Linked DNA regions of Oreochromis niloticus. The protein of the gene in region 1 interacts with the protein of each later gene in a pairwise test. Links are inferred from orthologs where the notes say so. Each region holds a gene or a part of one and is shown on either strand. Other genes may lie near its edges. The genes, in order: khdrbs2, chtopa, ptk6b and dock2.

Region 1 (6,995 bases):
TTATCAGTCTGTCAGTAAAACGTATAATGTTGCACTTTGACCACTAGAGGGCTGCAAGAGTCCATCAAATGCATATAAAGAAATATACATAAAAGTTATGATCAAAAGAAAACGTTTGTTATAATTGTGCTGTCAGTTATACTTTGATAAAAGTATTTTCTTAAAGAAATTAAAAGAAGTTTAAATTTTACTCTCACACACAGAAAGCTAAACTTAAAACTAAATTTTAAGTTCTGACCCTAGTAGTTCTGTTGATGGACTATAAATAAAAGATGGATGTTGCCACCGTGGAATAATAAACAGTATAAAACATGGACATGATTTATGGGTCAGAAATATGAACCCACTGCAGAAGTGTCTTGAACCTGCATTCTAACTATAGGTCACCAGATGGCGATAGCTGTTGTTTGCAAAAAAGACTTTGGGTCATGTTGAGGTTTCTCATGTAAAGTCATGTGCACATTGCTCAATAGTTGTCTGCCATATTGGGCATGATACCACCACTGGTTGGTAGAGAAAGGTACAACTTTTACTTTGTAGCAAATGATCTACATTTCTGATGTGCTTCACACTTTTTACTGTTTCACTGCAGCTTGGAGAGCAGCTGGGAAGTGTTCATGGAGAAAACCATCTCTTTCATTCAAACTAGGACCACAGCAATATGCTAGCAACCAAAGCAATTGGAAGGAGTTATTTGCTAACCAGTTGGTGAATACACATTTTTTCCCTAGCAACAGGTGGTTGCCAGATGGTTACTAATCACTCTCTGCTTGTGTGACCAGGGCCTTATTCACTTGATCCTACATCGTTACTGTATATTCTATTGTCACAAAGCCAAAAATGGCAGACATGTTAACATCACATGGTTAGTGGTCACATGTCTGTAAAACCACAATAGAAGTCTATGGGGGGAAAAAACGCTTTCTTTCTTACCTTAGTGAATACTTTTTTGATAAGTTAGTGGGCTAAATTAATGCTTTTGGGTCACCTGGACTAAAAGGGTATGTTTATTTTTTTCAATCTTGGTATACTATTTTTGAAAAAGGAGCATTATTTGTGGTATTCTTTGGGTAGGTCTGCACAGACCTTCACCCCTTTGTCACATGCTATCTGAAATATCTTATACTGTGGATTCAAGTCTTGAAACCTCAGAAACCAATGGATGACATCATGGTAGCTATATCTACCATTTATGTAGTTGATCGGTGTCATAGAACACCACGTTTGGACTAGTGGTGAGTAACAGACTAATAAAAATACTAGAATCGTACTCAACTGAATTAGAAAAAAAAATTTAAAAATTCCATCGAGTGCTGGTGTGCTATATACCTGTCAGTCTTTTTACCATTTACAAATATGGTAAAGAGGACCAGTGTCTCAAATTAAGCCTAGCGGATATGGACAACATCTCCTTGTGTCTGTGGACCTGTCAGTCAACGCAATCGCATCCTTAACTTTAAATCTTTCCAGTATCCATATGGATGAGTTCTTAAAAATAAAAAGTTGAAGTGAGAAGAAATCTAACAGGTTCCTTTTTTTTATGCAGTAAAATTTGGAATGTTAAGATTTGAGTTTTTGGAAACTGATTTGCTTTTGCCTCTCCACTAATAAATGCCAGTTTGAGTCTTGTGTTGGCTTAATTTTGGAATATTTTTCATCTCGTTGAGATGATGAAAGAAAAAAGTTTTTCTGTAGAAATCTTTAGAAATCTATTAAAAATTATGGTTTGTAATAAGGTGTCTATGGGTTTTTTGTTATTGTTTTCATCTGTTGGTGTGTGTGTGTGTGGTGTGAGTCTATTTCAATATGCCTGCATTAGTCTACATCTACAAACATACTATAGACTTACAAGACTCAAACACATTAACCGTCATAACCCTCATTACCATTAATAGTCACAGCAGCAGCAGCATGATTTGCATTAACACTGTCATAAATCATTTTATTGAATAGAATTAAATCAGTGAAGGTCCAGCGAGCATGAAATGCAAAGACAGTACTGGCCAACATGGCCATAGCTGCTTGTTTTAGGCTTTCAAGAAGAAAAATAAAGCTGTGTCTGATTTCATAGAGAAAGGAACTTAATGAAAAATAAATGGAAAGGGGATGTAAGTGTGAAGTTTTAATCAATACTAACTCCTTTAAGGCTTGTTTGGCATTACAGAAATAAGCAGATTAATGAAATAGTTCTGTCAGACAAACCCACTTGGGTATTCTGGCCTCTAAAACAGTCTTTTAAATCACCCTAAAAAGCCATAAAAAAGTCATACTCTGTAATCTTCAATGCCAATACACAATTTAAATGAAAGAAACCTTTGGCTCAGTTTTATGGATATTTCCAGCCATTAATGTACCACAGAGCACCCCAAAACAACAGCACTAGATTTCCAAGACAAATGTCCTGGTTTCTCAGAAGATATTAAATTCTACCAAAACTGAGAAGAATCATAAATACTATGAACATAATTGACTCATATTCACAAAGCATTGCTGTTTGCAGCCGCGAGGAGCCTTTATGATTCTGATCAGTGCGGGGAGAAACAACTCTAAAGGTCAAGTGGAGCCAGAATTGGTCGTTCACCAGCCTCATCTGCTCAAATCTAATTTGTGAGTTAGTAAAGCAGCCTGCATGCTGTGCCGAAGATGACTTTTGGATTCAAGTCAATATCATGGCTTGGGGACAAGAGAGCCATTTGATGAGATATAAACATTCATGCTTACAGTGCTGACACCACTAACACTGGCTCTTGATGAGTAAGTGAAGAATTCACTTTATTATTAAATATCTATTTATATTAAAGCTTCTTTATGCCAAGTCTGCCACTGACTATGCAATCAGCTAAAGCTCTACTAGAGCTGACCTTCTTCAGCCATAAGAGGGGATGCAGCTCAAAGGATGTAAGGAACTGACATAAGTTCATTAAGTAACATGGAAAAACTAATTAATGGTTTATTTGGCATGCATACCTTTAAATATATGATTCACTCTGTAACAATACAGCCAAACTTCCTTGACAGCAGCAATGTCAAACTCATTTTGTATCATGGACCAGATACAGCCCACTATGATCATAAGTGACCTAGACTAATGAAACTCCCATGTATATCAGTATAAAGAAGTTTAATTGCACATTTAAACCTTGAGACATTTTAATATAAGAAAAAGAATGTTCAGTTTTAAGAGTACATCTCGGTTTTTCTACATTATAAAGAAATGCTTTTGTGCACAATGGATACTGTGGAATGCATACACAGTGTGTCAACCCCCCCTCTGAGAAATTTTTGTGGTAGACAGTACAAAACACAAAAATAGCATCAATAGCCATGTGTTAAACCTTTATCAAAAGACAAAAGTGTAAAACTCACGAAAATACAGTTAAAAGTTAAAAATCTATGCCTTTGTTGACAGTTTCCAAGGCTGTCCAGCGGGGCAGGATTAGAGTCTTTGCCAGACTGATTCTGGTCCCTAAGCCTTATGTTTGACACCCCTGTTTTAGCGTGTGGGACAGAGTTAACGAAGTGGATCATGTCATGTGGAGTGTGAAGAATAGTATGCTGTATGCTAATTTAGGTTACCCGTAAATCTAAGACAAATTAGATATGTACAAACAAATCAGACAGCAGCCAGTGTTTAGCACCATGAACAGTTGTGTTGTCCCTCACAGGTGAATGCCTGCGGGCTACTTTGTACTGACTTTGTAGTTACTTTGAAACTCACGAGCTGCATAAAAAACCCATTTAATTAAGCGACATTTATATGGTACAGTCTGTCAGTGCAACAAAACTTTACTAGCATGCTTTATTTGTTCTGTTTGAGTACTATATCCAATATTATTAAAGTTTCCAGTTGAAAAAAAACCGAGAATCTATAGTTTCGGGGTGACATTATTTCATAGACCGTTGTCAGCAGCGACCAAATGCAACCCCATCCTTTTAAAGCAATTCCCTTAAAGAACACTGAGCATTTCCTTTGCGCTCAGCGGGGACCTTTCTTGGTGTTTCAGCAGCGCCAGTCCCAGAATATGGCCAATAATGTTGCTGAGGGGCGGGGAGCAGCGCGGTCTGCAGACCCACTGAGTCTGGCGGGGTGCCGAGGAGAGGCAGCAGGCAACGGTAGCAGAGATGGGCTCACACCTTTGAATCACAAATCAGCCCCCCCACCCCTACCCCAGTCAAGCATCTCGGGAGACACTGGAAGACCAATTTTTGGAGGGGGTTTTGCTGGTGTTCCTCATTAAGACCGGTAGACTACAGCTACCAAGAAGCAGGAGCGGCAAGGTTTATAGTTGCATTGTGACGTTCAGCACTCCTGTCGTCTCACCTGCACTGCCGGTGAAGAGGTCCGCTGTGATAAAGATGCATCCAGATAAGTACCTACCTGAGCTGGTGTCCGAGAAAAACAGCCTGGACCCCTCCTTTGTGCATGCGGTGCGCCTGCTTGCAGAAGGTAAGTCAAGTATATATGTGTGTATATATAGAAAATATTATTTTTTTTTCAAGTCTAATGCACTCTGAATGTTGGACTTGGCGACAGTCACGATGTTCATTCTAACGTGAAAGCACAATTGCATTGAATTTTGGGGCAGTACAGTGAGCTGATGTGAGCTTGTTTTTAACACATCACTCTTGACTTTTAGTGCTTGCGTGGCGACAGTTGAATTCTCTGTGCTGTGCGTTTAATGTAGACACTGCTCTTCGGCTCCAGTGAGGAACTTTTGTTGGGTTTTCCCCAAAACTTCAAGTGAACAAATGCTGTGAGCAGAGACACTAAAGTATGTGTACAGTCAGAGGGGGTTATTGTAACCCCACTGTCCGCCAAGATCAATGCGCTGGCTCGCATAAAGCGAATGTCTTCCTTGAGGATTTCTCATTGACTTCAGGGCAAAAATAATAAAAAAGGTGCCACATTCGTCAGTCCAACAATCATAGTACTGTATTAAGGTAAACGTGCTCTTAATCCTGTTATAATACTGTGTGCTGCCAGCCAATATTTTTTCTGTAAAATATGTGAATTGTGTGGTCATTTATCAAGCCAAATATCACCTCTCTAATATTTTAATTATTCCACGTGAGCTAAACCTTGGAGGCTAAAATCAAAGTGTTTGTAATTATTGCATCATGAGTCATAGATTTCTGACTGAACGAAAATTGATAGATGCACACCTCCTCTTACAGGATAAATGCCATCAAGGTAATGGAGAACAGAAAATGTCAGTGAAACATGCTGTAAAGCCTTTCCTCCAGAATAATGTTACTGTATGTCAACAGAGTGCCGCAATCAGCCTGCAGCATTTAAAGTACTTTGTAGCCTTCATCTCATTCACATGCTGAGAATGTGTCACTTCTGATAGGAAGTGTGTCACCTCAAAGCGAACACAAAAACTCAGCTCAGCTCATTCAGCCCAGAGATGCAACTTTTGCATTTCTCGTATAGACTGCGTGGTCTCTCTTCCTGTAATTGCACAAGTCTGGTTGATGTGCAGTGCTATAAAAGCTCGGATAAACGTTTGAGTGACGTGCTACTGGAGTGAATGGCTGAATGATTATCATAAATGTGAATGGATGAACCTGCGTGGCCTTACCAGGAAAGACAAGACAAACCAAACATGACAAGCAAGCAAACCAGTTAGTAACGTATTCCTCTACAAAACAATATATCAGCCATAAAATGACAAAATTAAACATAAAATGCCATCATATGTTACATGACTGTAAAACACTCAGTGAAACGCTCTCTACTGTTTTTCCTGTGTGCTAAACATGTTATCACTAGTGATTCTGAAGGCAGTTGATTTAACTAATTTATTAGATCATGCATGTATGCTAATTTTGGGTTCTGACATGTTTGTTTAAAAATGTAAAGTCACACTTTGTGTTAATTAGCTGCTGGATGGGGTGTGTGTGCACTCTGCTGTTCGGCCCCTTGAGCTTTCCTGTTGAAATGTGTTGATGAGACACCTGACACTCCCATTCTTGTCGCTAACTGGGATGCAGATGGGATCATCTGTCACACAGTACACTTTGCCATATGTACTCAAGCCTAGCTGACGCAGCCAGGATGCAAACAAAGAATGCCATCTACCACTATGAACTGCAATTAGCATGTTACATGAGGATACCTATGTATTTTCTTTACTAACTTTTTTCTCTGAGCAGTTTTAACAGTTCACAACAAATACACACACTACAATGCCCCATAATTAACAATACAGTACAGTCTTCAATATTACAGTACAATACTGTAGAAAAAGTAATACATTGGAATGCATTTGTCTGAGAAGAATGCTGTTGGCAAAGTCAGTAAACAGAAACCTCTCTGTATTCATCAAACACAAAAGTGGCCAATCAGTATAATAAACTGTCAGTTCAGTCAGTCTTGCAATGTCCAAAACAATCAGCCGTGGGCAGCATGTGAAAAAATGTTCAGCACAGACTTGTTATCTTGTGTTGTCAGTCTATGCTCATGGATAATGCAAAAACCCTGCGTATCGGTGGACAGCAAGATAAACTGCGTTTACAGATTTACAGATTCGCAGCTATTTATCACTGAATATCAAAGGATGTAATCCCGTGTTATTAACATCATGCACAATCAATAGCATAACATGGATTAACCGTGGTCACAGTTAGCATCTCCATATTTATGAAATGAATTATTTACTGTTTGTGTTTAAGTTATGTTGCTTCTAAAACCGTTTGTCTTTCTTTGAGCTGATTTAAAACTCTTTGGAACAAAGCTCCAGTCCGCAGCTGTAAACTACGGGTGGGTGGGGATAATTCTCTTGTCGAGCTGAAACTAAGCTTCCTCTTATGAAGCAGCAAGGGTTGTTAGACAGAATATATGAATAGATTGGTATATTATACAATCAAAACTGTATGCAGAGTATTTTGAAACTGCTACAACTTTCTTCCACAATCTCAAATGCAGATTTTTTTTTCTTGGACATGCTGCATGAGGCTAATGATTCCTCAGACTGACAGATAAGAGTCACTTC
Region 2 (7,849 bases), on another chromosome or scaffold:
TCTGTGTGTTCATCATTTGTTTGAAGCCAGCTCACCTCCTGCAACCACTTTTCTGAGAGTACGCTCTTCTTTTGCGGTTCGGACTCCTTCTGACATTTCTTTGGAGGTGGAGGAACACCAAAGTAATTGCTTAAAGGAGCTTCTTTGACATCTTTAAGAGTTCTAAACAAATGTCTGTCCTCCTCCAGAAAATCTTATGTACGCAAACGCGCGTTGCAACTTCTTATCCAGTGCGCGTCTTTTATTTTGACAGCGAATGCGCACCTGCGGACCACTTATGTGCACCCCTGGATACAATCCTAACCCTGTAGAAATGTTGGCCAATCAGAAGTCGAGCAGCCTGGGAGGGAAAGTGTAAACAAAGATGTCTTTCTAAACTGTGTTTGTATACGTAAGCATGTAAAAACTGCAGATACTCAGATTAACAGCAACAGTATTTTGTCAACATCATTGTAGAAATTCATCTCATGTAAACAATAACGTGTGATGCCAAAAAAGGTGCACACCGTTGGCGTTGAGTGACTAAATCTCTGTTTTCTTCGTCCACACATAAACACAAAAACAGTTTTTAATAATCTGTTTTCAGTGATGCAAAACGCTGTGTACGTGTGGACCAAAGGCCCAAACGCACAGAAGAAACTGCGTTTTCAAAAATACCCATGTACATGTGGACGTAGCCTTAATTTGGGTTAAACATACTCAGATCGAACCAACAGTGCCACGGACACCAATTTCACCTGAACGTCGCGCTCACCTGCTTGTGATTCAGAGCAGCTTGCACCGAAGGCCGGTTCTCCATCTGCTGGGCCAGCCGACGATTGCGGGCGCTAGCCAAATGCTGCTGTTGCATGGTGGCTCGAATGCTTACCGCAGTGGGTTGCTTGTTCTTCAGCATATTAGTGAAGCTTTAGAGGTGGGAGGGAAAAAGAAGGAGGAAGTAAAAGAAGGGGACAGGGGATATACAGAGGAGGAGGAAGCAGGGTTCCACATCATGTCATTTCTCATATGGATGATCGTGGCAGCTCTTTAGTCATGTTAGACTTTGTTCCACTTGTTGGCACTTATTTTCTCTCTCGATCATATGATATTCCAGAGTTACTTACACTTGACTTTAGCCCGTGTTGTAAAATTAACACAAGGAGAAAAAACAGTTGAAAGCAGACTTCAGGACAGGAGAGAGAAAGTTTCAGAAGAAGAGCCACAATTGCCACTTACAAGCCTCCAGCTGACACTGCGGGGATGTCATCATGTCGCAGCAGCAGAGGCCAGGGCATGAGGTGTGCTTTGGCACCCAGCCACTTACAGGATGGACCGTGACTTTATTTAAACCACCAAGTGGTCCGGAACTAGGGAATTGGTGGGGAAGGGGTAGTCCCTTGTCACGTCCAAGCTAGGACTGAGTACTCTGAGCAGGGAAAGGAGGAAAGAAGAAGAAGACAGACATGGTAGAACATGAGGAGATAAAAAGCTTCACTTTGACTGGTCTGAGAGAGAAAAAGATGAGAGGCAGAAAAGACAAGATGCCCCATCTCAGTGACTTAGCTTTAGCTCTCTGCTCTCCTGCCCCATTTAATGGTGTATACATGACGTATACAGTGCTGTTTAAACAGGGAGCCAGCGTGCCAAGGTATTTACAGGACGGTGGTCTGGTTCTGCGTATGCTTTACCAACCACGACCGCTACAGTCACCCCTCATCTACATGTGTGTGCTGCTCACACAAAACATTTGGCCTGGGCAAGCCCCTTCTGCCCCACACTTCATTTACATGTAACACAAACAAGGACAGGGCCAACAGAGTTGAATGAGCAGCGCACACACGGGGAACAGCCAGAGCTGCATCCATAACAGGTTTGGTCCCAACAGTAGGTTTCCGTAGAGAGTATTAGAACCTTCACAAGCCAAGGCTGGCAGCAGGTGACTAATTTCTGACAGGGTGCGTAGCCTCTCACCGCTCATTTAGGGACACTTTGGTGGTGCTTTTCAGGACAACTTTTTGGGAGGCAGCTGCACTCATTTTGAAAGACTTTGATTGTAGAGTCCTGGAAACAGAAAAGACAGAACTTGTTTCACCTCCCTCTCTTTTACACATAATGTATGCACTACTACTAGATGTTAAATGACCACTTTTAACCCTGGAGAAGCCATGGGGTCAAATTTGACCCCATGGCTTCCCTAGAAAACCAATGGGGTCGGATCTGACCCCATGGGTTCTCCAGGGTTAAATCGCTATTGCAAGGAATTTGCTGTAATTAACATCTACAGCTGTTACATGTGTGTTTAACAGAGAGATTATTTTGAGGACTACACACAGTTTCACACAAATCCTACTGGGATCGTTTAAGTAACAGTCCTCCTGGTAGGAGTAACACACGACCCCCTCCCACCCAAGCTAAACTTCAGACCAGCCCGACTGCCAGTTTGGTTGACTTAGCAAAGTTTTCAACTTCTTTAAACTCTTTTCTGTGTCAACGGCATTTAAAATGATCGATTCTTTAGGGGAAATTTTTAATTTGAACACAATTATCGATCACGTCCGCTGGAAAAATGAAATGTTTAGCGAGCGCCCATCCGGTTATAACAAACTGCAGAGACAAGAACAAGGAGTAACGATTCCGCCTCGTCTTCGCTAACATGTCGTTTATCGACGAATAACAACTTTATCTCATACTTACAGCGGATTCTGCGTTGGTAGAGAAATGCCTCAAAGCTAGCTAAGGTTAGCTTTAGCAGCACAGCGGCTTCGTATAGGTGTCCTTGTATCCTGTTTAAATACAATTTACCATATACTAACTCCCCACGCACGCGCGGCTTGAAAAAGCGCGTGAGTAAGCGACCCTATATCAAACTCTCCCAGGAATATTGTAAAACGTGGGAATCGAGACTCCTCCGCGATCCGAAAGCCTAAAATGGTGCTCCTGGCTACACTGATGGGAAGAAAATGGAGAGGTTCTTGTGACGCTGACGTCACGAGGACACGACTTCCTGTCCGCTCGTGCTGGTTCAGTAAAATGGCAGCTACAGCTTTAGTCGAAGGTTCTTCTGGTAACGATGCTGTTGCCGAGGGTTTGCTCGACCTCCTGAGACCAGCAATACAGCAGCTCGATCTGCATGTAAACTCGGTCAGGTAATCAGCTTCCTCGTTAGATTAGACTGCAAACCGTGCTAGCTTTTTCTCTCCAATGTATTGACAGTCAGCTGACTTTCCCCGTCAGACTGATTGTTTTGTTGTTCAGTTTTCTCTGGACTCACGTGACTATTCGTTTCTTTGCAGAAAAAGCCAAGTGGAATTAAGAGAACATATAGACGGTCTGGCCACAGGTAAAGTCCTGCATGAAGTCCTTCAAATATAGCATCAGCTATAAAAGATTCATAAATAACGTGCTGGTTTTTTCAGAGTTATGCAGGATAAACGAACATCAGAAGGTGGCTCTGGACCTGGACCCATATGTAAAGAAGTTGCTGAATGCGAGGCGTAGAGTTGTGCTAGTAAACAACATACTGCAGAACGCTCAGGTCGGTACCAGTCTGTAGCTGGGCTTCTTAAAGCCCCCGAGAAATTGTATCACATGTTCTGCCCCTGTCAGCATGCCTGTACAGCCTTGGTCACATCAGACATTAGGCAAGAAATTAGTCTAATGTCATATTGAGCCCCGATAAGGGCGGTACCAGAGAACAGTGAGTGGGGATCACGTGTGCCACCTGAGTAGAACATGTGAGGTAGAGTAACTATGGAAGTTGTCTGAATTTGATTCTCCTGACATTGCCCGACTTCATCCACATGTTCATGTACAGCTGTAACTGCAGGGTGTCTGTGTGATGTCATTGCCACAGCACAGTTATTAGGTTTAGGGGACACTAGTTTTTTCACATAGGGCTGGGTAGGTTTGGATAACTTTTTGAAATCATCAGGTTATCTTTGCAAAATATTTAAATTTGTTTAATACTCTGAAACATGCAAGTGTGACAAATATGCAACAAATGGGGCAAATAATTGTTTTACTCCATTATAATTGTCTAGGTAGACTCTGCAGTGCACACATGCTCAAGGTAGACGAGATTGACTTTAAGAAAAATAAGTATAATAAGAACCAGTTTCCTGGCCCTGATGTTTACTGGTGTACATGTCTGTAAGCAAGTAGAATCCCAGCCTTAGAAAGTAGCAAGTGAACATAGTGGAGCATTTAGCAGCTCTAGACCCAGATATTTATCTTTAGCAGATTCAAGCTGAGTTAAAAGGAAGTTGTTGTTGTGTTTATAGCTGGACCAACAACTCCAGATAGAGTTAAAGCTGCTTTAAAACTTTTGTACAGCAAGAAATGAAGAAGTTCTTTACTTTATGTTTTTGTGATTATATAAATTAAACTGAATTGAATTGACTGCTTCTGTACCAGTGCACCTTTACAACTATTTATACTGCTGCCAATTATACACTAGCACTGGTTGTATTACTACCACTGTACAACTTCCACTATAATAAATAATAATTACTGCTATTAATAATATTGCTACCATCACCAGCGCTACAAATACTGTATGAAGAGACTTGTAATTCCGATTTCCATGGCGACCACAGATATACTAACTATTCAAGTTGCCTCAAAATGGTGTAAAAACAATACAGAAACAACATTACACAACCTGAGCTTTCTTTGTCCAGGAACGTCTGAGGCGGCTCAACCACAACGTGGCCAAAGAGACGGCGCGGAGGAAGACAATACTGGAGACCTCGGGCGTCTTTGCTTCCCGCTCACCTAGTAAACCATGAACCTCACCTTGAACCTCCTTCTGCTCCACACAGCAAATACTGTGAGCTATTTTGATCAGCAGCAAAGGATGATTGTGATTATAGGAAGCTAAAAAACAGGAGGGGCCAGTCTTCCTTTGACATTTGCTTGTCTTTTTGTTTAATACCTTGCTGATGTTCTGCACTGCTTTTGTCACAGTGAAATTCCAAGCTGCTGTCTGCTTACCATTTGACAACTTCAGAGTACGGGCTTGCAATACAGTGGAGATATTTATGTAATAATTCTAATGCACTCAATAAATAGATACACTATGTGGACAAAACTATAGGAGCCACAGCTCTTAATCTTTTGATGTTTTTATTCCCACATCTGTGTGAAATCAATCACTGGCTTTGCAACCTGCCTTCACAAACATTTTTGAAAGAATGGGTCATTGTAGAGAGCTCACTGTATGGCAGTGTGGAAGTGTACAAGACGCCACTGTTGGTGAATTTTCACTCCAAGATAATACACAATCAACTGGAAGTGGTATTCACTGGTGTGAAAAGTGGAAGATTGTACATCCTGAGAAGGAAAGGAAGCACTGGTGAATCCAGCAACACAAAAAGACCCGGACGGCCACAGAAGACAGCAGTGATGGATGATCACAGAATCATTTCCATGGTGAAAAGAAACCCCATCACAACCATGTGAACAACACTCTCCAGGAGAGGTTGCTGTATCCATGTCCAAGTCTACCATAAAGAGAAGACTGCATGAACATAAATACAGAGGGTTCACTGCAAGGTGCAGGCTACCCATAAGCCTTAAGAATAGAAAGGCTAGATTGGACTTTGATTAAGAAAAAGAATTGAAAAAGCCAGCACAGTTGTGAAAAAACATCCTTTGGACAGACAAAACCAAGATCAACCTCTACCAGAATGATGACAAGAAAAAAAGTATGACGAAGGTGTGGAGCAGCTCATGATCAGAAACATACCACATCATCTGTAAAACACAGGGGAGGCAGTGTGATGGCTCGGGTGTGCATGGCTGCCAGTGGCACTGGGACACTGGTGTTTATTAATGATGTGACACAGGACAGAGGCAGCAGAATGAACTCTGAGGTGTTCAGAGACAGCCTGTCTGCTCACATCCAGCTAAGTGCAGTCAAATTGAATGTTTCATAGTACAGATGGACAATGACCCCAAACAACCCAGGAGTTTATTAAAGAAAAACAGTGGGATATTCTTAAATGACCAAGTCAGTCATGATCCTAACCCAGCTGAGCATTTCACTTACTGAAGACTAAACCTGAGACAGAAAGGCCCACAAACAAACAGCAACTGAAAGCTGCTGCAGTAACGGCCTGGCAGAGCATTAAAAAGGAGGAAACCATCATCTGGTGATGTCATGAGTCCAAGACTTCAGGCTGTCAGTGTCAGCAGAGGGTTTTCAACCAAGTATTAGAAATGAACATTTTATTTTCAGTTATTTAATTTGTCCAATTACTTTTGAGCCCCTGAAATGAAGCGATTGTGTTTTAAAAAAAGATCCAGGTCCTTTCATTTTTATGCAATCGTTTTGTTCAACCCACTGAATTAAAGCTGAAAGTCTGCACTTCAGCTGCATCCAAGTTAATTGAAAATTCATTGTGGTGAATTACAGAACCAAAATCAGAAAAAGTTGTTACAGTTCCCTGTCCAGGTGTAATATGTAGGTGGCTCAGAACTTTTGTCCATATAATGTACAATAAATACTTCTATCCATGACTGCAATGTTAGAAATGTTGCTCCTGTTACAACATGCAAGAGAGAAGAAGATACTTTACCTGTGATGTTATGAACAGTTTCTGTGGTTGCTGCTGGAGCCACTGGCACATGGAGGTCATTTGCTTCAGGACCTTCTCCCATGCAACATGACTAATGTTGTTGAAAGGGTGTATTTTAATCCAAACATTTTCCTAAAATAAACTCTCTTTTTTTTCCCTTTTTTTTTTTTTTACTAAAACCTGAAGATAATGTAAATTATTATAAGACTTTGTATCAGAAAAGCCCCAAATGTAGACTACTGGCTATCTGTCATGATGTGATCTGAGTAGTTTGTTTCGCTGCCTCTTATTTGTCCTGCAGTTAAAAAGCACAAGCTTGTCCCCTCTTAATTTTGTGGCTGTTTAATATCCACATTTGCCCTGGAGTAGTTTCAAAGCAGATGCGTATTGTTAATAGAGTACTTAGAGGGACTGTTTTGTATAAATCAGAGTAGAAACTTGCCTACTTGTGGAAAGTAAATTCTCTGCACATGTTGAATTGTATTTTCAGCTATAGACACATTAAATACTTAAAGATACTTAAATGCAAATGTACCTGTAGAGCATAGTGTCTTTAGTTGTCTGTCATTTTTACCAAATCGTCACCGCATTAGGAGAAATCCCTCGTCTTCACAGATCTGACATTTTGTAAATGGTAACAAAACTGTTCTCTCTTTGGAGTGTGAATGTCAACATTTCACTGAGTCCATTCCTTCTGCAACAATCTCAACACCTCTGCCTTGTTATTGGGAGACAGTATCTAAAATGAATTTTCATTACAAGGGTCACATCTGATTTAAAAAATTATCCTGGAATAAGCCCCCCCCCCCCCCGGACGTTACCGCAGTGTTTGTGTAAGGATTGTGTGAGTGCCATTTTTTCCTGTTTTTGCTACTAGAAGGATAAAGTTGTGCTATTGCACATGTAAATGACGTGTAAGTGAACTAACATGCGTTGTTGGTGTATTCAGTGATTCAGTGTGAGCCTACAACGCTGGAGTCGTGCTCAAATACCGAGCCGTGCCGTTCCAGTGTTGGTGGTGGTGACTCGGGGCTAATCCTCAGCGGCGCCACTTTAGAAAAACAGTCTCGCGGGCCAATCTAGGCGAACCAGACAGTTCGTGGCTAGCGGTCCTGCTGTGAGAACCACAGCGCGATTGGCCGAGAGGTGCGTGCCCTGTGACACCTGACCGCCGATTGGCTGCGGCGTGTCGAGACACTGACGCGCACGTCGTCTCCCAGCTATTGTTATTGTGGCGTGCACGAGAGGAAGGGGCAAGATGCACGAGGAGACAGTGGGTCTGATAAAGGGAT
Region 3 (7,661 bases), on another chromosome or scaffold:
TGAAGAGGATGATGTGGACAAAATACTCATTTGCCTAATAATTCTGCACTCCCTGTATAAACTACTACTTAGCATGTTTGCAGTATTTGGCCTGTTATAAATATTTGTTGGTAAACTAAACCTGTGTAAAATATTAATTCTAAACACTTTAAAAACAGTAAGCCAACAAACAAAAACACTTCTTTAACAGTTATCTGTTTCACACTCAGCACTGTAATATAACACATACAGCTCATCTCCAGCGAGATAATGTGCAGCAGTGAAGATAAATCTGCCTTTTAGGTCCAAGACCAGCTCGAGCGCAGCCACGGTCCCTCCAAATGATCCTTCACCTCAGCAGAGAATCCAGATCCCGGGAAGCTGATTCTGTTCATCTGGACGTTTTCACTGAAACGTTTCATCATCATCCAAGACTGAAGAAGTCACTGGGATGAGTGACGAAACGTTTCTCCCACTGAAACATTTGGACTTGTAAACAGCACATTTGCACAATGACTAACAATGGGCCGTGAGGTCAGTTTAAGATCACTAATGATCATAACCGCTGATCAGTGGTCATGAGTCACAGAGAGGTGGGGAATGGTGCAAAGCTTGGCTCTGTGTAGATTCCCCCTGACTGCAGAAACCACGTGAAACCACCGGGCTGCTGGTGCAGCTGATACAGACGGCGGCAGCGTGGGCAGGAATAAGAAACGTGATGTTAGAGCAGACACTGTGTTTACTGAAGAGAATATGACATCAACAGGATGCTTCAAGGTGTAAACGCAGAGTTGAGATCCCCCTGCACTGTGCAGGTTTGAAGTAATCTCAACATTTTGGAGCTTGAATCTGGTAGTTGAGATTATAGTGATGACACAGAGACCTCCCAGCACGAAAGACTCGGCGCTCTTCACCAAAGAAAAATGTCAAAATAGCAGAAGCAGCGTGCAAAAAGAAATGTGTTTTACAGAATAAACTGTTTAACAGTCAGGTGACGTCACGAAGCGAGCACAGAGCCGTTTGCTCGGAGAGTTCACCCACGCCTGATTATCTGACACCAGGCTGATTCTCTTTTTGGTCAAGCTCAGGATAGATAAAATAGTAATTACAGGTAGTTTTATTAAACATGGCCACCCAGACCAGAAATAGTTAAACATGTAAATATTGATCAATAGTCACTTTTTCTTAGACAGAGTGTGTCCCTTTTCTTAATATAATGTTTTATTCTTGAAACTGTAACAGGTAATTTAATTACAAATACTATAAGTCTGTGTTATACAAAAAACTATTTATTTTTAACCCATTTTTTTCCAACAGCATGTAAAATACTTGTAGTTTTAAAAACATATACATATTTGTGCATTTAATGTTCCTGACTTCTCAACTTGGCACAGACATTTTCACAATGACATTTTCTTAATGATTCTATTCAATTATTTTTAAAAAACATTTTTCCAAACAGGGTGGAAATATATATTTGTTCATTAAAAAGTACATCAGAATATAAACACTGTGACACACACCATAGTACCACATAGAAATTCCCCTCTCCCCCCTGCGGGCGGTCTATCCTGCACCTGGGGTCTTGCCTGGTGTGATAGACCCCAGCCTCTATGGATCTTGTGCTCAGAGCTTGTTCTTGTGCTGCCATGATTAGTGCCTCTGTGCTGTCTTTCAGTCCAACTTTGTCCAGCCACTGGTAGGATTTCTGGATATCAGCCACCTCCTCTATCTGCCGGGGGTACATACCGTGCAGGGGCCTGTCCTTCCATGATGGTTCCTCCTCTTCCTCCTCTGTCTTGGGTTTCTGCTGCCTGAGGTATTCCTCATGATTCCCTGTGGGTACTTGCAGGGGCGGATCTAGACAAATTTTCTTGGGGTGGCATGAGGGTGGCAAAGAAATCAAATGGGGTGGCAAAATCAAGGCTTTTTTTCCAAACACATATGCAGGTGGTTACATATGGTTAAAATGATTCAAATGCAGTAAGTATACACGTTTTTCATATAAATATAGTCTATAACTTAATTATTGTCTGTAGCCCACATAATTACACACTTTGGTTACATAAAACATGTGAGTTTTGATCTTATGTACTGTATAGCCTGTATAATAAATAAATATGTAGCCCAATAAGTATAAAATCCAGAAAGCTACACAACATGGAGCAGTTCATTTACAAACACAAGTCTAACTTAAGTTTCACTGTTTTTGGTTAGAAAACAGTCACATTGTTACAGCTTAAATTACACAAAATGTCAGAAATCTGCACTGTCATGAACAAAAATTTAAACCTAATTTTTCATGATTTGTTGGATCTCTGAGGTCTGAAATACAAGCGGCCATTTTTGACTCCTTTTGAGTTTACGTTTGTATTTCACCCTCAGATTGTTTCATTTTATTCCCCCCCCCCCCCTTGCCTTGTTTGGTATCTTTTCAGCTCAACTGAATTTAGTTGTTTTTGTCACTGACATACTGCATTAGTACTACTATTACTATTAATAGTACTATTACTGATCTGAAATCACACAAAGAACTTAAAATCCTAGTAGTATTTTTACTGTAAAAAAACCCACAGACATGTTGAGTAAATTTATATAACTTGAAATGCAAATATAAATTGTACATTTTGCCTCACAAATGATGTGTGCCAGTAAAAAAAGTTTTTCCACCAAAAGACAGAGGAGAGCAGCACAGGGACAAACCTGCAGGCCTGACAACAGCAGGTGTATCACTCCGCTGGTTTTCTACTTAGTGACAGTGTTTACAAATGTGCCTTAGTGACATTCATTAGTGCCCTCACTGACACACACAACAAAACGACTACACAACAGAACAGCTACACAAGACAACACAACACACTAAGTATACACTCCACACTAAACGTCACAAATCTCCCACATCTAAAAACTCCCTCTCTCTCTCTCCCTCTCTCACTCGCTCGCTCTGTCTCGCTGCCGTTACCGTCACTCCCAAAACTCTCCCCTCTTCCTAAACAACAAAATCCCACATGTTGACTTTTTTTTTAAATTGGTCGACATGGTGCATTTTTCCACTGATAGCAAAGAGGTGGCTTCTTTTCCTTTCTTTACTGTTTTCGCGCTGACCTTAGAAAACGCTTAAAACACACACACAAAAACGTGACGACAGTATTTAGAAAAAAGCGTGGCTTATATATATTATCATAACTCTGGATTTACTGGCCTGTAATTAAAATGTAAAAACTTGGAAGTCCGAACTTTCAATGTGGGCTGAAATAGAGACTCAGCGTGGCTGCAGCTTGTTGCTGTGTCAGCTTACATCAGTCATGTGATTTGGAGGTGCAGCGTGTCCGTGGACCACAGAGGGTTAATAACACTCACCTTGCTTCCATTTCCAGAGTGTAACATCCAACCACCTGTGCAAAATCCAAAATTCCCATGGTGTTGTTCAAAATGTGCTCTGGCACAATCATGAGCATCGCTTGCTGCTGATAACAAGAAAAAAGCCGGTCCTGCTATGGGCTGAACCATTTGTTAATGGTGGAGGGGGGAACACTATGCAATATATTCAGTTTTAGCATTTATATTCACTGTTGACTGTAACTACGCTCAAACTGTTAATGCTATCTTATTTTAATAAACAACACTGTCATATGCAAAACTGGGGTGGCACTTGGGGTGGCAAGGGATCATTTTAGGGTGGCACTTGCCACCCCATGCCACCCTTCTAGATCCGCCCCTAGTCACTTGTATCTGTCCTCTATGTCTGCAATGTTGCCTTCTGGTTGTTCGATCCCCTCAGTTCTGACTATCTTTCCTCTCTTTGTTATTAATTAATGATAACAATAATAATTATTGCTCTCTTTTTATCATTTTCACGTGATAGTTCCCCCCCAAATTCCACCCTGTTAAGTCTATGAACCTAACAGGGTGGAATTTGTTTAGCTAATCTAGCTGTAGCTCTTTAGCTGATCAACATTTAGCCAGCTAACCGTCAATAAATGAACACACCTTTATTAACTCAATCCAACATGTTTTTTAAAAATATTCTACTTAATTAACATTTTCCTCATTTGACCTTAACAGGGTGGAAACTTGAGGTTGACCCATACAGGTGTAAAATGTTTAAGATGAAAAAAGTAAAGTGACAGTTGAAGTTTACCTCATTTTCCACAGTTCAATTCCCACCAAAAACAAATGATGCCACTTCCTGTAAATGGCTTTTATGGGCTTATTAAGGTAATAAAGCACATTCTAGCAGGGTGGAAAATTACTACTGGGACAAGTACATTATGAAGAAAAAAGTAAATAAGTTTTATCAGATTCAATTGCATAATAAAATAAAGCTTAGTATAGTCTATCAAATTGATATATATAATTTTATGACATATACGTCTGGAGGAAGTTAATAAGGGCACTGTGGGACACAATGAAATTGAGCGTGTGTCACCGAAAAGGTGTGTAAAATAAAAAAAATCATATTTGAAACGCATTTCATTTATGTTTAAATAATTGCAAACACTTAAACACATCATTTAATTACTTTGTTGTACATATTTGGCACATTTTAGAAAAAATCAGGTAAGTGAATCATGTGGACATGAAATGCTGTCACCACGTCCTGCTGTAACCCGCGAGCTGAGCGTGCGGGGTACCTTGGCAAGACACCTGCGCACCTGTAAAACCCCGATGTGTGTGTGTGTGTGTGTGAGCGCGCGCAGATTGATGACACCCTCTGGGGGCGGGGCTCCCGTGGTTTCTGTGACTAAAGGAAGTCCCTCCGTGGGCTCGGCCCGTACAGTTTCACTGCGCCGTTCCCCTCTCAGGCATTCCCGACATTCTCCGCGCTCCCTGCTCTGCACCTGTCGGACAGGTGTGGCGGGCTGACTGAGCCGAGCTGCGGTGACGCACAGCCCGCGCGGAGCCGTTCATGGTCACCCATGGGTGAGTGTCTGCGCAGAGCGTGCCCCTGCCTGCAGTCACTGTGGGAGAGGATCCTCACGGAGAAGAAGGCTCCTCAGCCAGCGGGAGGAGCAGGAGGTGAAGAAGAGGATGGAGGAGGAGGACGCAGAGGCACCTGCAGCGACAGCGACGGGGAGCAGCCCCAGGCCCCGACGCCGCCTCCGAAGCCCCCGAAGGAGACCGCCTCCGAGGGCAGCTGCATCTACACGGCCATGTGGCCCTTCGAGTCCCGGCACCAGGAGGAGCTGTCCTTCCAGGAGGGAGACCTGTTCAGGGTGGTCAGCCGCAGCGGAGACTGGTGGACGGCGCGGAAGATCGACCGCAACGGGCACGTCGTGGCGCAGGGCATCGTCCCCAACAACTACCTGGCGAGGGCAGAGTCCATCAACGTGCAGCCGTGAGTGCAGCTTCCTCTGACGGCTCCCAGAGAGCAGCTCTCGCCTCTGGGAGCTCCGAGGGCCATCCCGGTGTCCGCGTTAGACAGAAGCACGTGGCGTGTCTGTGTCGCAGGAGTAGAGCAGGACATTTCCAGGATTGTTTCAGGGGTAACACACCTGATCCAGCCCCGAGAGTAGACAGCTCAGGTGTCTCATCTCTGAGCTTCTCCTGTCCAACACAGAGTTTACACTCAAACCCGACAGGAGCAAAGCTTCAGCACAAAGTGTGGCAGTATAATCATCCATGATTTGATTTAATGCAGCAGCTGCAGGGGATTTAATGACCTCCACACTGGGGCAGCTTTATTTACACAGCATCATATGATTCACACCATAAAGTCAGTACAACAGGCAGACACTAAAGCTTCTAAATGTTTACACTGAAAATGTGACGCAGCACAAGAATGAAGCAGCAGAGTGGTTTTTCAAGAATGTACGAGTACATTAAGTGTATACTTCAGAAAAGTGTCACAGTAATTTCTGATTAATATGTCACAGAACAGGTAAAGGTGTTGACAGGAAAGCTAGAAGATTTCCAGCTCAAAGGCAGAAACTCATTTTATCTGAGCAGACAGCTGACAGTTCAGTGGAACAAAGACGCTGCTTCACCTGCACACACGTGTGTGTGTGTGTGTGTGTGTGTGTGTGTGTGTGTGTGTGTGTGTGTGTGAGCCCACATTCAGAATCTCGTTTTTTATTATGTTCACGAGGCTGCTGTGCCTCCAGCTGCAGATGCATAAATCAGGATGTGTAACACCTTTATTATCAGCCAGAGTCCACAATGTCCACCTACCTGCCAGGAACTGTAAACGCTTCCTTTAACCTTTATCACCTTATCACACATTTATCCTTTATCGCATTAGTAAAACTGAGGTGAGCAGTGAAGCAGAGTGCTGTAAAAAGGCACTTTGGGAGTCAAACGGCTGTTTTCTACTGCAGTAAAGTGGGCATGTGCGTCCTGTTTACAGCTCTGCCTAAAAGTGGAAGTTTCTGTAAGTTCTGCTTTCCTGTCACTTCTGTGAAAAGATGCAGGCAGTCAGCACGGAGCGTTAAAAGCAGCCCCGCTAATCAGACGCTTTAGGTCACGGGTGTCAAACTCCAAACTTTTCCATGTATCCCTGCTGCAGCACACCTGGATACAATAAGTAGGTCATTAGCAAGACTCTATAGAACCTGAGTGCATGCTGAGGTGGCAGTTCAGCCATTTGATTCATGTTACAGCAGCTCATGAGTGGCTGAACATGGTGCAATAAAAGTACTTTTTTTCCAAACACTTGTATTTAAATTTACTTGAGTAGGGTTGGGGGTTGTCACCTCAGCATGCAGTCAGGTTCTATAGAGTCTTGCTAATGACCTACTTATTGTATCCAGGTGTGCTGCAGCAGGGATACATGGAAAAGTTTCAGGACAGCAGCGCTGGAGGACTGGAGTTTGACAGCTCTGCTTTAGGTGAAAAAATGAACAGTTCACATTATGAAGGTTAAATGTTATTAACGCTCAGCTTTTTAACGTTTGATATGAATATTTGGATGCTGTTAATCATCTTTTTGACCTGTTAAAAAACACAAACAAAAAAAACTGAAGCTTCAAAAGCTGCAGTTCCTGTAACGTCCAGCAGGGGCTCCAGCAACGAGTCTCTCATGTTAAAACTTTGCAGCCGAAATAAACATGTTTGCAGCCTGATGCACAAACTTGTTGGTCCCTAGAGATATTTTGTTTCTTCGAGTTTGCATTATTGGGGCGTGGCCTCATTGACTGACAGGTGGTGGTGACACAGGCGGCTGTAGCTGCTAGCTGTCTGCTAGGCTTTTAGTCAGACCTCTGTTATTAATGACATCATGTGACCAGTATTATGGCTGCTGTGAGGTTACTGTACTAACAGAGCATCCAAGAAGGTGGAGCTCCAAGTTTGCTGAGTGAAATTCTAGTATTTTGATTGGATGTTATGGATCAGCAGGTGTCTGAGTGATGCACCCATAGAGTCTGTGCTGACCCAGATAGCATCAGCTGATAACTTAGCGCTCCACCCGCTCATCCAAACATGTTCCCCTCAGGAAATGGACTGAGGCTTCAAAATGTGAAAGTATAAACAAGTTACATCCGTCTTCTATTTACAGTGTGATAAAACGCCAGCGAGCTGCTCGTCTTTATAACGTCACACTTTGTGCTGCTCGTTTATTTTTGTGGTTGTCCAACAGTGGCAGCTTTAATTGATCCTGACTGAGCCGTACGCTGTGAGCACCATGAGAAATGTCACAGCTTTACATCACACCAGCCCGTGTTTGTGTTTCAGCTGTGATGCAA
Region 4 (6,968 bases), on another chromosome or scaffold:
GTTCAAGACAACCTTAAGAAGTTCAAACAGAGTTTCAGACTGAAAAAGTGACTGAAGGGACTCTGAACGATGCACTGTTGTTACAGCGAGGCTCGCTTGTCTGCCAGCTAAGAACTGAGGCTACAATGTGGTTGAGCTCACCAAAATTGGGTGGTAGAAAACTGGAAAAAACATTGCCCGGTCTGATGAGTCTTGATTTCTGCTGCAATATTCAAATAGTAGGGTCTGACTTTGGTGTAAACAACATGTAAGCATGGAACCATCCGGCCTTGTATAAACACTTCAGACACAGGTGGTGGTGTAATGGTGTTGGGGGTATTGTGTTGTCACAGTTTAGATTCCTTAGTACCAATTTAGCATTTTTTATCTGAATATTGCTCGTGACCATGCTCATCCTTTTATGGCCAGAGTGTACCCATCTTCTGATGGCCTCTAATGGCTGTTTCTGTGTGACAAAGCCCAAATCATCTGGCTAAGACACCAAATCTCCATCCAACCTTTGAGATTTGCATCAGGAAGGTTCACTCTGCACCAACTGTATTATGCTATCATGTGAACATGGACCAAAATTTCTGACGAATGTTTCCAGCATCTTGTTGCATCTATGCCAGGAAGAATTAAGGCAATGGTGAAGGCTAAACAGGGCTTAAACCCAGTACAAAGGTGTACCTAAAAAAGTGGCAGTTGAGCGTACATATTATATTTTACATATATTTATCATGTTTATGCTCCATAAAATGTAACATTTACAAATACACGAACAAAATATATTTACTAACATGCAGTTTTTCAATAACAAATAATTTCAAAGGTTTACACATCTATGTATAAAGTATCTGAACCACACTGACAAACCAGATAAACGTCTTATTTAACACTATCTTACCTTCGCAAACCTCCTGGATGTGGACAGTTTCGCCCACCTCCAGGGAAAGGTGCTTCTCATTTTGGCCAACAAAGTTCCACTTTACTAAAGAAGAAGAAAAAAAATAAGTGAATAAAATAAATATATAAATAAATAAGTTGAATATATAATTAAGGTTATTGTTACAACGGAAAAATAAACTTGAACACAAACACTAAGTGTGCAGTGGCAATGCGTCGGTTACAGGAAGATTTTAGTACACACGGTGAGCTAGCTTGATTAATGACGTCACACGTTATAAGACTTAAAAAAAAAGGCTAACCAGTAAAAAAACACAAGTAGCAGTGAAACACAATAGTAGTTGGTGACTAAGTAGCTTAAGGTAAATATAAATAGGTAGCCCAAATAAGTTAGTGTATCCAGATGCTGGCCAGCTGCAAACGGTGGCACACACGAGTAGGGAGGCAACGGAACAGGTTGAGGAGCAACGCCTTTCTTCATTGGGCCTCAGGCTGGGCTTATGCGATAGTAAGCAGCATTTGTTTAGGTTTTGGGCTGTTGATAATCCGGAGATCTGGAGCAATTTTAAGACGTTAGTTGGCTCTTTTTTCTGCTTTCTGTCTTTTCTTTAATGACTGTATCAGTCAAAATGATCAGATTTAGGAAACACTGAAAGCAGCAATGAGTAGCGACATGCTTTGCAGCCAAAGACCAGTTGCACGGCAGAGGAAAGGTGTGCAGAGCACCGACAGCTACAGAGTCTATCATTCCTCTTTGTGCAACAGTTCAGAGGCTTGCTCTCCTCCATTTAAGCTTAGAGATGGTTTGCCCTCAAGAAGAACTGCAGCTACAAAATGCCTGCTAATGAAATTGTGACTGTGCAAAAAAAAAAAGAAAAAAAAGCCAGAATATTTCTAGACCGATGCTTAAACTGATAGAAAAGGAAAAGGAAGCTTATTTGTGCGCACTTCGTGAGACTAAATTGTCAACATTTTTTTTCTTTGCATCAGACTTTTCTGCTGTATTCAAACTTGAGACTTCCTTCTTCCCCCACTTCCTGTGTTGTAGTCTTACACAGACCAGGAAGATATTTATACTAGATACAATAAACAATATTTTCTTTGAGTAAGTATATTAGAAAGTGCTTTAAAATGACTTTTTAACACACACCCACTGTCAGCATCAGTCTCATGCTAGCAGTAGATGAACTACTCAGGTGGAAAAAACCCTACATGGTCTATCTTTTTGCAAGTAGGTTAAATGATAAATCAATGCAGTGGCTGCAACAGACCAGTGAACCTCAGTTAATAAAGTCTGTATTAAGAGGCAGAAATCTGTGTCTTTTCCAAGTGTGTGCCTGCACTGCATATCTAATGGCAACACACACTGATTAGCTCCGCCATATTAAACCCACATACATAACAGATAAACTGCACACTGTACTTGCTCATTCTAGGATTTGCTCCTAGCCAAAACCAGGCTTTCACTTTCAAAAATGAAAATTTTTAAGGACTGTTTATCTTCTAGCTTCTGTATTTATGTGCTGCATGCTATGCAATTTGTAGAGATTGCCTACTTGCAGCTGCTTATTTCTCCATCTTTGCTTATGATTTTATCCCTCACAAACCACTGCACGAACCTCTTCAGTGCAAATAAACTATAATTAGCGTAGTTGCACTGAAGTTAAATGATGAATAAGATTTCAGGATCTCAGTTCTTTGGAGGGATTAAAGCTGATGTCTACCTCCTAAAGCTCTTTGAGGCCTTTGGCACCTGCCTACATCCGCCAAGCAGGAAGTGATGGGAATCTATTTTTCTCATTTCTATTCATTGGCTGTATAGGCTAGCATCATACCGTAACAGAAAGGCACCATAAAAACTGGATGTGCCTGCACATACTCACACAAAGATACATACAAACAAGCACATGTTGACTTACCTACACCATACCGCTCTCTTGTGGTTTTCGTCCAAGGAACCATGATTGTGTGTAATCCTTTACCTACTTTATACTTTTGTCTTTATAAATCTCCTAGTTTGTCCGTCCACCTTAACTTCTCATTTCTGCATTTTTTTAACGTTAAATGAAAGCAATAAGCCCATCCCCCTTTGCCTCTCTTCCCCTTCTGTGTCTTCTCTCTTCCTGCCTTCAGGCGGTTAAGAGGAAGTGGGTGAGTACAACAAGGTGGAGTCCTACAGCACCCGCAGGCTTTTGCAGCCTGCGATGTCTCTACTTTCCTCATTTAGACTCGCCTTCATTATTCAAAGTAAAACGTCAGTAGCACATGATGACAGTTACAGAAGGGTTAGAGTCGAGAGGATGTCTGAGTGTCAAACCGGGCCAATACGTGCACATTTTTTGTTGCTATTTTTTTCATGTTTTCATATCTGAAAAACGCAGGTTGTCTGCTTTCTCACAGTAGCATCTAGCCGTTGAACCGCTGATGACTTAAACCATTAGTCTCACAGCTTATTCAGCCATCGTGCACATAACATACCCTGACCTTTTCCTTTGTGCATCACCATTTGAGCTTGTGAAATCAAATGTTGTAGAAGGCAAAGCATCAGAGGATATGGCTTGATGATGTGTTCTATTACAGATAATTTGAACTCCCCCCCCTCCTCCTCGATCTACAACCAGAAAGGTAAAAGTGGAGAAAACACTATAACAATCCGAATGGCTAGGCAAGCACTACAATACCAATGCTGATCTTTAACAATTTTATGTTGAATAGGAAGGGACGATGTGTTAAAAGCTGCTTGGGTTTTTTCTTGCATGAGACATCAAATCACACTCTGTTTTTTTATATGAATTTTGCTGCTCATTAAAATTGATCTGAAAAGACTAAAAAAAAAATGCCTGTAATAACCCAGAGGCCACGTCATCAAGCCCTGCCTGCCTGGCCAGCTCTCCATACCTCATTAATGGTTAATTTAATATGCATGTGAATACAGTGAAAAGGAGCTAATGACCACATTTCAGCAGGATGAAGCAAAAATTATTTGACTTTGGCAGTCACTAAAAAACTTTCTAATGTTTGCAATGTTAGCTGAAAGACACATAAAAGACTGCATGTATAGCAACCGCAGCAATTTTGTCTCTTTAATCGGGAACATTCCTGCAGCTCTATATACTTTCTAAACTGAAACTGCACTCGTACCTCAAAAAACAGCGAGAGATGTGAAGTGACGCAGATGTTAACTGGGCCCTGAATTCCTGGTTTCAAGAATCTTATATAAAACTAATATTCAAGTTGTGGACTTTAAAGAAAACACTCCTTAAATAAACACATATTTACCCTGTACCTCCCACAGATTATGTTGCCTTGGTAACCATTAGCTTTCCATTCTTGACAGCATCCTTCACACAGCAATTGGCAACAAGCATCCATAATTGATGAGACCTTTTTTAATATTATTGATCGCTCTCTTGACATTAATTATAACCTACACTCTTAGAATAGTAAATAGTAACTTTTCAGAGACCAGTGGGAAGTAATTAATATCCAAACGATCCATTTATAACCTAAAAATCATCCTCCAGTCTTTATGAACTTCATCATTAGTATGACAGTCCAAAGCAATCAAAGCCATTTTTTAAAAAGTACCCTGTGAATATAAACTCAATTCTTCAAACCATTTTCAATTGGTCGCTGATTGTCCTTGCAGCTTGTCTTCTGTTATAGTCCCTATTAGGGGAAATATGGATGACTCAGGGATTAGTTTCTTCTGGAGATCTTCACAAGACAAAGGACCAATCAAAATACTCTATGTGAGTATTACTTTTTGGACAGCCAATGTAAAATATAAAAGGCCTCTTGGCAGGTTGGCTCTCAACCAATAAGGCTATGGCTGTCAGGTTTTGACAGCATCATTGGTTGAGGCTGTCAAAACCTGACAGACACATCAAAAACTGATCTATCATCAGCATATCAATGTTATTGTGGGTGATGTGTTTTACTTTTGTTATGATGGTGATTTTAGAGGCTTACTCACATCACACATTTAAAATTAGCTATGTCTGAAATGATCCTTGAAAATGAAATAGTATTCTTTACTAAAGTGAGGACATAAAGGGATTTTGGGTACTTCACAAGTGATAGCCAATGTGTATAATCCATAGACTGTAAATGAAAGGTAGAGCTACTCTTGCTTTGTCCATTGGGACGTTGTGTTGAGAAGCTGCAAGTGTAAAGTTTTTGCCCTTACCAACTTGGTGATTTGAAACTTAATGAAACTGAATGTGGCAAGAATTGAACTAACCAAGAAATCACCCGGTGCTCATAGGCTGCTTGTCAATATATCATCCTGTTTGACTCTAGTAGGGACCAGGCTTTACAAAATGAATGTTTTATGCAGTGTGACTTTAACATAGAGAGTGAACACATGTCCCTTTATAGGCCACCCATTTTTTAGTTTTTGATTTTTACGTTTCAAATCATGGTCAGTTAAGTCACCGTATAGGGTTCAATGCCCTGTAACGAGGAAAGTGTTCACAGAGGTTTATAGACTATGGCACCTAACCTTAAGTCATAAGAGTCACCTGCTGGTAACCTTAGAAAACAATGTGGGTTTGAGGCACTTCTGCATTTGCTTCACTTCTCAGAACCTGAAGTATACATTTCATATAGTCTGTGTTATAATGTAGGTGAGATCATTTGAAACCACACCTTGTGACTCTCAAGTAACATCATTTGAAGTTGCAAATCAGGACATCATTGCAAAACACAATCACAAGTAAATCTAAATTCCTGGTAGCGGTTTATCATAATAACATGGCAGAGTTTCACAGCAAGGCGTTCATGCATATTTACCACAGCTTCTCAGCTGTTAAACATAGAGATAAACTTGGTGCATTGGAGTTGCCAGCTAAGTTAACATGTGCAGTATATCAAAAACTGTTATTTATAAGAATAAAAGGGATAGATAGAAAGAAATCACATTAAAAAAAACTGTATGTATGGGTCAAAAAGAAAATCCAGAAGAGGGGGCTAGAGCTCTTAAATGGTTTGTTTGTTTGGTTTTTTCAAATATTTCCTTATATCTTATCAGTAAGAAGTATTTGCTTCCTCCTGCTCCTTTCTGAACGGGAAATGGTCAGCTTTTTGGTTTTTGGTTTTCCTTGTGAGTAGAAAGGCTTCCAGCGATTTCGTGTTTATTTGTTTTAGTATGTATTAACACTTGTTACTTACATGTTCGAAATAAAGATTTGGCTGATTGATTGACTGATCAGTATATATTGTTTTCTGAACATAGTGTTGACATAGACTAGGCACTACACACGCTGGTCACTTTATTAGTTATACCTTGCTAGTAGTTTTGGCTTCGTCGTGGCTCTATAGATTCAACAATGTGCTGGAAACATTCCTGAGACATTTTGATCCATATTGACAAGATAGCATCGCACAGTTACTGCAGACTTTTTTCCATGAGGAAAATCTGCATGATGCAAATCTCAAAGCTGCCCTATTGGACTGATCTAATGACTATGGAGGCCATTTGAGTACAGTGAACTCTTTGTTAATATTACTCTTAGTTAATATATGATGGCATGCAGATACTTGCTCAGTAGTAGGAAACTAAAGACATCCCACAGGTTGTTATTCACTCTCAAAACATGCCTATTTTCTTCTCATCCCTGTGATGCGTTCAAGGTGCACATGAGAAGTTGTGGTCAGTGTTTCAGCACTACAGAAGACAGTGAGCATAAAAAGTAATTTTTTTAAGTAGGTGGTGTCAAATACAATTTCAAATTCTTTCCAAGTAGCTCAACAAATCAAATGCACGCAAACATTTCTGTGCACTCTGACACAAATTGTGTCAGCTAGCTAAAAGTATATTTCCCAGGGAGAGCAAAAAAAAACCCAACCAAAAATGTGCAAGCCTGAGAGATGGAGAAAGAATGAGGACAGAAGAGGAAGATGAGAGATTATTTTCAAAGGTAAGCAGTGCTCAGCAAGTGCCATTTACTGCACATGACCCTTAGTCTGGTTTGTTGGGTCATGTGACACATGGGTGGAAAATACGAATTCTTGCCAGCTGGCTGTCATCAGGGGCTGATTGTGACTCAGTGTATATGAAGAGCCGACCGGGTTTCTTTCTC

Evidence for each region.
Region 2: the proteins of khdrbs2 (region 1) and chtopa interact in binary tests that used the Homo sapiens proteins (3 or more experiments, as listed by UniProt). The two-hybrid records come from large-scale screens. The link is inferred for Oreochromis niloticus from reciprocal best matches to the Homo sapiens genes KHDRBS2 and CHTOP.
Region 3: the proteins of khdrbs2 (region 1) and ptk6b interact in binary tests that used the Homo sapiens proteins (3 or more experiments, as listed by UniProt). The two-hybrid records come from large-scale screens. The link is inferred for Oreochromis niloticus from reciprocal best matches to the Homo sapiens genes KHDRBS2 and PTK6.
Region 4: the proteins of khdrbs2 (region 1) and dock2 interact in binary tests that used the Homo sapiens proteins (3 or more experiments, as listed by UniProt). The two-hybrid records come from large-scale screens. The link is inferred for Oreochromis niloticus from reciprocal best matches to the Homo sapiens genes KHDRBS2 and DOCK2.

Annotation. Positions count from the first base shown.
Region 1 is NC_031978.2:20,112,385-20,119,379, reverse strand, and holds the start of khdrbs2 (KH domain-containing, RNA-binding, signal transduction-associated protein 2), read left to right. Parts: upstream 1-3,978; 5' UTR 3,979-4,356; coding exon 4,357-4,447; intron 4,448-6,995. UniProt on the Homo sapiens protein: RNA-binding protein that plays a role in the regulation of alternative splicing and influences mRNA splice site selection and exon inclusion. Binds both poly(A) and poly(U) homopolymers. Phosphorylation by PTK6 inhibits its RNA-binding ability.
Region 2 is NC_031985.2:35,541,951-35,549,799, forward strand, and holds the start of chtopa (chromatin target of PRMT1a), read right to left. Parts: upstream 3,001-7,849; 5' UTR 2,674-3,000; intron 2,041-2,673; 5' UTR 2,016-2,040; coding exon 1,951-2,015; intron 906-1,950; coding exon 755-905; intron 1-754. UniProt on the Homo sapiens protein: Plays an important role in the ligand-dependent activation of estrogen receptor target genes. May play a role in the silencing of fetal globin genes.
Region 3 is NC_031984.2:955,560-963,220, reverse strand, and holds the start of ptk6b (protein-tyrosine kinase 6b), read left to right. Parts: upstream 1-4,660; 5' UTR 4,661-4,898; coding exon 4,899-5,317; intron 5,318-7,661. UniProt on the Homo sapiens protein: Non-receptor tyrosine-protein kinase implicated in the regulation of a variety of signaling pathways that control the differentiation and maintenance of normal epithelia, as well as tumor growth.
Region 4 is NC_031966.2:22,944,353-22,951,320, reverse strand, and holds the start of dock2 (dedicator of cytokinesis 2), read right to left. Parts: upstream 3,007-6,968; 5' UTR 2,848-3,006; coding exon 2,805-2,847; intron 971-2,804; coding exon 887-970; intron 1-886. UniProt on the Homo sapiens protein: Involved in cytoskeletal rearrangements required for lymphocyte migration in response of chemokines. Activates RAC1 and RAC2, but not CDC42, by functioning as a guanine nucleotide exchange factor (GEF), which exchanges bound GDP for free GTP.